2 linked regions of the Nothobranchius furzeri genome follow. The protein of the gene in region 1 purifies or fractionates together with the protein of each later gene. This does not show direct contact. Links are inferred from orthologs where the notes say so. Each region holds a gene or a part of one and is shown on either strand. Other genes may lie near its edges.

Evidence for each region.
Region 2: the proteins of gpr161b (region 1) and prkacab purify together in Homo sapiens (affinity purification with mass spectrometry; 3 studies listed by BioGRID and IntAct, counting the BioPlex papers as one, with this or other methods). This does not show direct contact. The link is inferred for Nothobranchius furzeri from reciprocal best matches to the Homo sapiens genes GPR161 and PRKACA.

Annotation. Positions count from the first base shown.
Region 1 is NC_091754.1:25,585,782-25,590,198, reverse strand, and holds the start of gpr161b (G-protein coupled receptor 161), read right to left. Parts: upstream 2,983-4,417; 5' UTR 2,893-2,982; intron 2,505-2,892; 5' UTR 2,466-2,504; intron 1,479-2,465; 5' UTR 1,435-1,478; coding exon 1,091-1,434; intron 638-1,090; coding exon 1-637. UniProt on the Homo sapiens protein: Key negative regulator of Shh signaling, which promotes the processing of GLI3 into GLI3R during neural tube development.
Region 2 is NC_091744.1:6,143,320-6,147,625, forward strand, and holds the start of prkacab (cAMP-dependent protein kinase catalytic subunit alpha), read right to left. Parts: upstream 3,024-4,306; 5' UTR 2,800-3,023; coding exon 2,754-2,799; intron 1-2,753.

The sequences.
Region 1 (4,417 bases):
CATACCCAGCAGCTCCTTTCTCACGGTTTTATTCCACAGGCCGTAGATGAGTGGGTGACACATGGCGCTGCACAAAGATAGCCACGCCACCAGAGTCTCCAGTCCCTGAGACACGCTGCCCTGACCCCACAGAGCCTCCGTACACACCACCCCGACATAAGGCCCCCACGTCACGAGGAAGGTACCGATCACCACCAAGATGGTGACTAAGGCCTTACATTGACTTCCCGCGTAGACGAGGCTCCGCCGGCTTCCGTTAGAGGAGGTCGATGTGCTTGAGTTCTTGCGCCCATTTCTTTGACCTCCTGTTGAGTCATCCTGGGTCACAATAACCGTCCCACAGTGTACTTTGCGGGCTTTCATGCGAGCCACACGGAAAATGACTCCATAACAGATCAGCATGATGAAGAATGGGGGAAGCATGCACCAAATTACCCAAAAGGCCGTGTAGCTGGGCTCTTTGGACCAAGACGCCACACACGTCCATTTAAAGCAGTCAAACTCAAAGGAGGACCAGCCAAACAGAGGAGGCAGACAGCCCAGCAAAGAGTGCAGCCACACGTAGACTATGACAACCACAGCCCGGTTCCCCGTGATCTTCATGGGGTAGATCATCGGGTAAAGCACGGCGTAGTACCTGCACAGATCAGACAGAATTAGTCAGCACAGTTCAGATTCTAACAGAGGCTGATGAGTGATGCTGAAAATAAAAGCTGTGTGTGTGTGTGTGTGTGTGTGTGGGGAATAATACTGCATTTTTTGCTAAAAGATGCAAACACAGCTAAGAGAAGGGAGCTTGGAAGGAGAACAAAAAGTTTCTGTGTAATCAGAAATCCCCAAAGGTGCCTAGGGTAATTAGGAAAACAGAGAACTGGGAGGCCTGCTGAAAACGTTTGCAGCAGTGTGGACAGTAGAAGCTTTGTGATTCCTGGGAACAACGAAATGATGCAGGGTTTACCTCAAGTTATTTACAACAGGAATTTCGGCAAATATTAGTCAGATAATTGATTGTTCCATTAAATAAAAGTCTATAAATCAAGATAAATAATGCCAAAATAACTTATAACTACAAATGTAAGTTGGGCCTCACCTGTCAATAGCAATAGCTCCGAGGGTGAGCATGCTGGCTGAGCTGATGAGCAGGTAGAGCAGAGCCGTGAAATTGCACCAAACCACCCCGAACACCCACTCTCTCTTCGCTGAGCTCACAGCCACAAACGGCAGCACCAGAACCGACAGCAGCAGGTTGGACAACGTCAGGCTGAAAACAAACTTGTTGCTGGGTGTGAGGAGGTACGGCCTCCGGTAAAGGGTCACCACAATCAGCAGGTTCCCCATAAAGGCCAGGAGAGTGATGGTCACGATGGACACGGACTCCAAGGCTGCCAGACCTTCGCCATTCCCCGCCGGAGTGCAGTTTCTGGTGGTGTTCATGGTGAGGGACTGGTCCACCGGACGGGTGACTCAAGAGTGGGAGACTGCAAAGGACAAACTCACCATCACGATCATGAAGAACCCACCAGAAAAATTGACTTTTTAACCATATTTTACCTCCTGAATGAGTCAAAAGTTCTAGAAAAAACATGGATATTTTATTAATTATAAAATTCATGATTTCTGAATTATATTTCTAAAATAAATACCACAGCAATTTCCTAATGATAACCAATTGTTTAGTGCTGTTTAATCCTATAAAACATATATTAGAGTTCACAAATTACTTTTTTGTTATTTACTAAAAGTTACAGAAATAGAAAAAAAAACATAAACATTTGTTCAGATTTAATTGTAATTTTTTTCTTTTTCTGTCAGTAGCCGAATTTGGGTCTAAGAAGACATTTAATTAGAAATAAAAATACATAAATATATAGAATCTGTTATTCACCCGAAAGTACATGCACAATACATTTAGTAATTATCAATAAAACTTACAGTTCAAGTAAAATGCACCAAAAGAACCCAAAAAGTCTTAATGCTAAAGCATAATTGTGTAGATTTAGATTTGAGATCTATAAAACTATATTTATTTATGCAGCTGCATTATTATAAATGTTTTGTTTTGTAAACGAACACATACTTGTCTGTATGGATCACAAACTTTGTTACATTTACAAACAAGGGACATAAACTCTTTTCAAACAGAAGGGTCTTTAATTTTGTCCATGAGGAGGATAAATCTCGTTCCTCAATAAAAAGCTTGAAATCCGAAGTTGTGCTCAGATTTCAGGCTATTAAATAAACAAATGTTAGCTTTGAACAACATCAGAACCATAAATTCTCCATAAACTAACTTTGTGTCTGGGAGTCAGGTACAAAAAGTTATTCTAACACAACTTTTAATCACAGCTAACAGCCGAAATGTTGTTGAATTAAGCAGAAATACTCGGTTCCGTTAACACGTTAGCTAAACATCCCGTTAGCCGAAAACTTTCCCCCATTGTCCTCCCTCGAACTCGTTTCTTTACCTGCTTTTGTTCGGCGCTTCGGCTCCACATTTCTCTCTTCTGCGAAGACAAAACGTCCATGTTACTTTTATGTTTCCACACTACGCTCTAGGAGGGGAGAGAATGGCAGAAAAAAGCACAAAGCTAGTGCTGAAAAGCAAATGTTTGGTATCGCTCATCCCTCTCCAACAGCCAGCTGTGGCTGCAATGGCGTCCTCCTCCACCTCCCACCTAAACTTCTATTCCCACTGTGTGCGTGGGTGGTCGTGGAGGGAAACTGCTCCGCTTTCATTTCTACATCTACTCATCTGACATCTTCAACGGGATTGCGTTGTTTAAGCCATAACGCATTTTGTAACCTCTCCGATGTATTTGTTTCTAAAAACCCTCATGTCTTTTTCATTCGGTTTCAAAAATGAAATGTAAAAGTAATTTGTTGTTTTGTTACCTAAACTGTTTGAATAAACATGAACATTCATGATGACCAAAACGAAATGACGCTCTGCAACAGTTCACAGACGCCTCGCTGCTGGAGCGGACCACACACGTAGAGATCATAGATTCGCGCAAAAATTCGTCATCATACGTCTTCCAATCAGAAATGAGGTGTTGTGCAGGAAAATGTTCCCATTTCCGGCAAAGGACCTGCAACCATAAGTGAGCTTCAGAATTACTAACATTACCATATTTTCAAATAACTGTGGAAGATAAACATATTTAAGCCCGCGAACGTTTGTCTTACAAAAAAGTTTTGAGGTGCATCTTTTGATTTCCTTCCTTTCCTGGATTGGAGATGGCACATATGTCCACTCTTTTATGACAGCTGCAGCCAAACTGGGTATTCATCTCAATATTGCTACATCAAAGGGTTTTCTCATATATATAAAACAAAAAAACTATCCTTTTGTCTAATCTTTAGAATCTTGTGATTTTTAAAGTTTTCATTTGTTTTTCACAGAGTATGACCCTGATGAAAGGCATTGAAGAAGCAAAGAAGCAGTCCAAACAAGGTTCTCTGCAGAAGTTTGAACTGTGTGTGTACAGGTCAGCTGGCAGACTTGACGGAGCCTGGGAAAAGATATATGTACGTATTTATGCAAATTGGTTTTTAATTTGTCAGAATATTTTGTTTGCTAATCCTTTCAATTGAGCTCATTAGGGACCAATCGCCAATCTCAGGAGACTATTAGGAGCAGCCAGAAATAACAAGCCTCCAAGGTATCTAAAGCTGTATAGGAACTTTTTTATGGAATTCAGACTTGTTAGTCCTTGCTGAAAATCCATTTCAGCCATGATTTAATATTAATAATCAGAACATAACAAGTGAAATAATGATTTAGGTCCCAATTGATTTAACAGATGAGACAAGTAAAATAAATTTGGTGCCACAATGTAAAAAATTATGCCAAGCATATACAAATCAAGTAAACAAATAGGAATTAAAGGCGTTCAAACACACATTTTAAGCTTTTATTTATTTAGGCATTCATAGTGTTTGCATTGTTTCATATTAAATGTTATTTTTCACGCCTGTTCTCATTCTTTTTTACTTAATGTAATGTATTACATGAACAGAAAAGGGGCAGAGCTTTCGAACAGTAAAAGAGGCAGCAAGTGTTTTCAGATCAGTTCCAGTCCAGTGGAAACTCTCATAAAGCCTTACTGACTGAGCTACTGACAGGCTCTGCAAAGAAATAAGTGTGAGTTCCAAACAAAGGAAAAGGAAAATGCAGTCTTAAATAAACCCCAGAAGATTACAAAGGAGTTTCCTAAAACTAAAACTCCAAAAGACAGAGAAGCTTTAAAAAGGCTTTCCAGATTATGGGTCCTCCAACAGTATGCCAAATAAATACATAAACAGGATTTGTGCATCAAATTACTTTTGTGGTAGTCAAATGATAAATGTGTACAGCAAACTGATTAATATCACAAACTAGTACTCAGATCCCATTTTTTTTTTTCATTTTAAAACA
Region 2 (4,306 bases), on another chromosome or scaffold:
TGAGCAATAAATGGGTTCTCAGTGAACCTGCTTTTTAGGAAAATTCTTACTTTCAGACAAAAGAAAGTTGACTGAAGGATCTCAAAAAGCAACATAACCTGCCCTGTTTTAAAGAAAATATAACACAAAACAGCATCTAAAACACTACAGGCCTGGCTTGGTTAAGGTCAAAATTCATAATTCAACATAAGAAAAAGCTGAAAAAAAAATTGCATTATGAGAGTTCAAATGAAGGCAACTGGACTTCTTTGGTTTCTTGAAGATGTTTCGCTTCTCATCCGATGAACTTTGTCAATTCTAACTGGACTTTCGGAGAGTCAAGCTTATAACCCAACAGACATACCATATGTAGGCCCCCCTTGGATTGGTGCTGTCTTTATGGTGTCTAAAGCTTAGGGCACACCGGAGACAGACGCGCCACATCGCGGCTGCGCTATCATTTTAAATGGAGGCCATTATAGAAGAGGATAGGAAAAATGGTTAAGGGAGCTTCGAATCCTTCTTTCAGTAGGAAAGAACAACCATGAATCTTGCCATGTGGTAAATAGCAGCTACACGGGGGGGGGGGGGGGGGGGGGGGACGTCCGATTTGTAATTGTAATTACAAATTTTTACAAACTCATACGTTTCAAAATTTGACAGGTGTGATCGAAACACACATCTTTACTTTTCATTTAAATTGAAGTGCAACATGTGTGCAATTCAGGGCGTCAGGCAAAGCAGATTAAAAAATAGCTTTTTTAGCCCCATTGACTGAAAATGGAGATTAGTGGTGCGTTCCAGTTGTCGTCAGAACTCGTTTTTCTGAGGTAAGTTAACCGGAAATGACGCATTAAACTCAGAATTCTGAGCTGCGAGCTGGTAGGTTTCAGAGGACCCAAGATCACAAATTTTAAGATGTCCAGTGCTACCAGGAAGTAGTTTTCAGCTTTATTTTTTTCTCATTTATATGTTCTGTTTTTTTTTTTTACAGAACCGAGTAGTTGTTTATTGTTGTTATCAATTGTTATGTCGTTAAAAATTTCAACATTTCTGCCTAAATTGACCGGTGTCACTTTTCCTGGCGTTTCTACATCTTATTTGTAATGTTTTTCAGGTTGTATGTGGCAACTGTCGATGGGGGTGTGTGTCACTATTATTTAGGTGCACAGAATACTTGGTAAGTTCTTTTGTTGAAGTTCTTTTAGTACTCAACAACACTGGTGGTGTCCATTATTTTGTGTTGGAAGCCTGAATGCACGCTGTTACACTCCCCAGAGCCCAATGGGTCATCTAAGTATTCATGTTTATAGTTCCAAGGCCAGAACCTCAGCAGATTAAAAAAAGAACACAACTAAGACCCATCTCACATTTGCCAAAGGCATCATGATCTCCCGGGCTTTTGGCAAAATATTTTGTGGACTGACCAAATGAAATTCAAACTTTATGGAAGGTGTGCAACCCATTAAATCTGGTGTAAAATTAAATGTCAGTGAAAGAGCATCATGGTCAACCATGGTGGTGGTAGTGTGATGTTTAGGGCTTCGCTGCTTCAGCACCTGGACCACTTGCTGCAACGGATGCAAACATGAATTCTATCAGAAAATCTTGAAGGAGTTTGTAGCCTTTGACCTTAAAGCTGCATCAGCTGTTGTCACCAAAGGTGTTATCCCCAATTAAACAGTTTTCACATTAGCCTGGCCTGCCAGACTCATCCTCTGTTTAATTCTACACAGAGAACTTCCCATAAGGAAGCATGCGGCTGGCTGCAGGCTATTTTCACATAGAGCCAGACAATTTCCCCCCACCTTGATGAATTAAATCAGATACTGAAATTAGCAGAGTCTGAAACATCTAAATTTGACCCCAAAAGCAAAGACTGTAGAAATCTGTAAAGAGGTAAATACTTTTTCCCAGCCCCACACATCGTCTATCAAATTAGTCAAAGTAAATCCAGTTTTATTTAGTAACAGGATTGCTGTAAACGTGAGTAAAACTTACAGCACAACAACACACAAGAATAACATCCAAAGCAGCGATTCTGAGCCAAAATATTCACGCTTCATATTGAAGAATGTATATTTTTCATGTTTCCAATGTGCAGGTTGTTTTTACTGCGCCCTGAGGTACAAAGGTTGTGGTTCTTAATGAAAAGTCACGTAATGTCAACCTAAAATGTAGATTTATAAAACACAATCGCTTTGATTGCCATCGCTTTCTCATCAGTAGGCTTCCATACTTTTGTTTATTTGATAGACCAAATTATATCCCTTAGCCAATCAACACTAAATGCCCCCCCCCCCCCCCCCCCCCATGTTTGCAAGAAGTCTTGACAATACATCCCTCCAAAGAGCAACAGGCACAGAGTGTTCAGGAAATATCTGACACATAGTTTGTTGCAGTCTTGCCAAGATCCGAGTACAAGAGGAAGTGAGGATGCCAATATTACTGCAGCTTAAGAGTGGTTGTTTTGCAGTTAATTCTAGCTTTGCATCCTCAGTTAAATGCCCTGTAGCAGGAAATCTTGAGTTTTATTTAGAGATCTCAATAACATATTTGAAATGATGAAGAACTTGCAGCCATCGCTGCTGGTATGGGGTTCATGTCAAATAACATCCTAATTCGCTTGTAAGGAGGACATCATGTGGATGGTATTAAATGAAAGCATCGTGAGGAAAGGCCGCTGTGTTGCAGGTTTTGTAAAGCTAACATCGCCTGCCGTGTCACGTTGTCTCTGATCATCTCGTGAGGATGTAACGGATCAGGATACCCACCGCTTTCCATCTCGCTGCCCTTTCTTGCCGTGGGCGCGTTGCCCATGATGACAACCTGTCAACAGGCAATCCGCGGCGTTCCGGCCGCCCTGCAGCCTCCTCAAGTCGGTCAAATCTCGATCTGGACGGTGTTTTCCTGAATCCAGCAGCAGCACGGAGCGTTCACTCCGAGGTCTTGCTCTTTAGTAGCCTGACAGCTGCTAATGCGGCGCCACGTTAGATAAGCGGGTTCGCTCCCTCCCACGGTCACCCGCAGCCGCTGGCCAGCATCGGATTTAAATCCACGTTGAGCTGGGGCTTCGCCGGAGCTTCAGGGTTGAGCTCGGAGGCAGCTGGCCTGGACACGGAGGATACAGTCTCCACCTGACCCTCCTTGCAGCCCCCGCCGAACGGAGCTCCCCTCCCCGGCTCTCCACCACCTCTCCCAGCCTATAAAAACAACAATACCAGCGGAGAGGGAGCAATGTTCTCAATCGAAAGCGTCTCGCTTGTTGTCAATAAAACCAGCTTAGCAAAATTTTAGCCTCAGCGGGGTCCGACAACGACAGGTATTCACCCAAATCAACATCGGGCCCCCGTAGCCTCGGAGACCAGCGAGATGACGGAACTACAGCGGAGCGAACGTCCCGCCTACTTGCTTAAACCAGCGTTGAATGACAGCTCGTGCTTACGTCGATGATTGGCCACTTTATCAGAGCGGTGACCAACAGTTTACTGTGATTGGCCAACTGCAGCCGTCAATCAACAACAGCAGCTTCCCACCGCCCAACACAACGCGAATGAGGGCAACGTCACAGAATATTTTCCTCCCGACAACGACTCCGCCCACTTTTTGTGATCCGGCCCTTCTATTGGCTAGATACGGACGGACCGTGGGAATCTCAGCGAACACGAGGACGCCCATTGGCTGTCACCAGTGATTGACATAAATACCCTCCTCCTCTACTTCGCTCTTTCCCGCTGCTGAGCGACTGTTACACGTTTGGCTGAGTGACGTCAACCGTGAGTCTATTTTTAGAAATGTTGGTCAGAATTTAACGCACGCGCGGCGCAGTGTGGCAGCAAAGACATCTAAACATTTCGCAGGCTATTCTGTGAGAAATGAACACAAATAAACAAGATTTTAAAAACTGGTGTTTCATCTTCATCACCCCGCAGCAGCTGGACTAGAGAGCAGCGGACCAGGGGTCCTTTTATCATCAGCATCATCAAAAGCTCCGATTCGCAGATTTGCATTAGAATGCCCCTTTGATTTAACGTAAGCTTGTGTTGGTAGGAAAAAATAAATCAAATCTATAAATAGATCTCATAGCATCCTCATCACTTTGACTCTGAAGCCACATTTTTTACAGCACAACCAATTAACCAGCTATATTCTTTTCCACATTTGATCTCAGGTGCTGTAAAACCATGCCAAATGACTGTCAACGTTAGGCAAAAGTGGCAGCTCTTCAAATTAAATAAAGATGCAACAAGCAGATGTTTGGCAATATTTACCAGATCGATTTGCAGCTGATCAGCTTATTTTTAGCTCTTAAACCCTGCTGCATGTT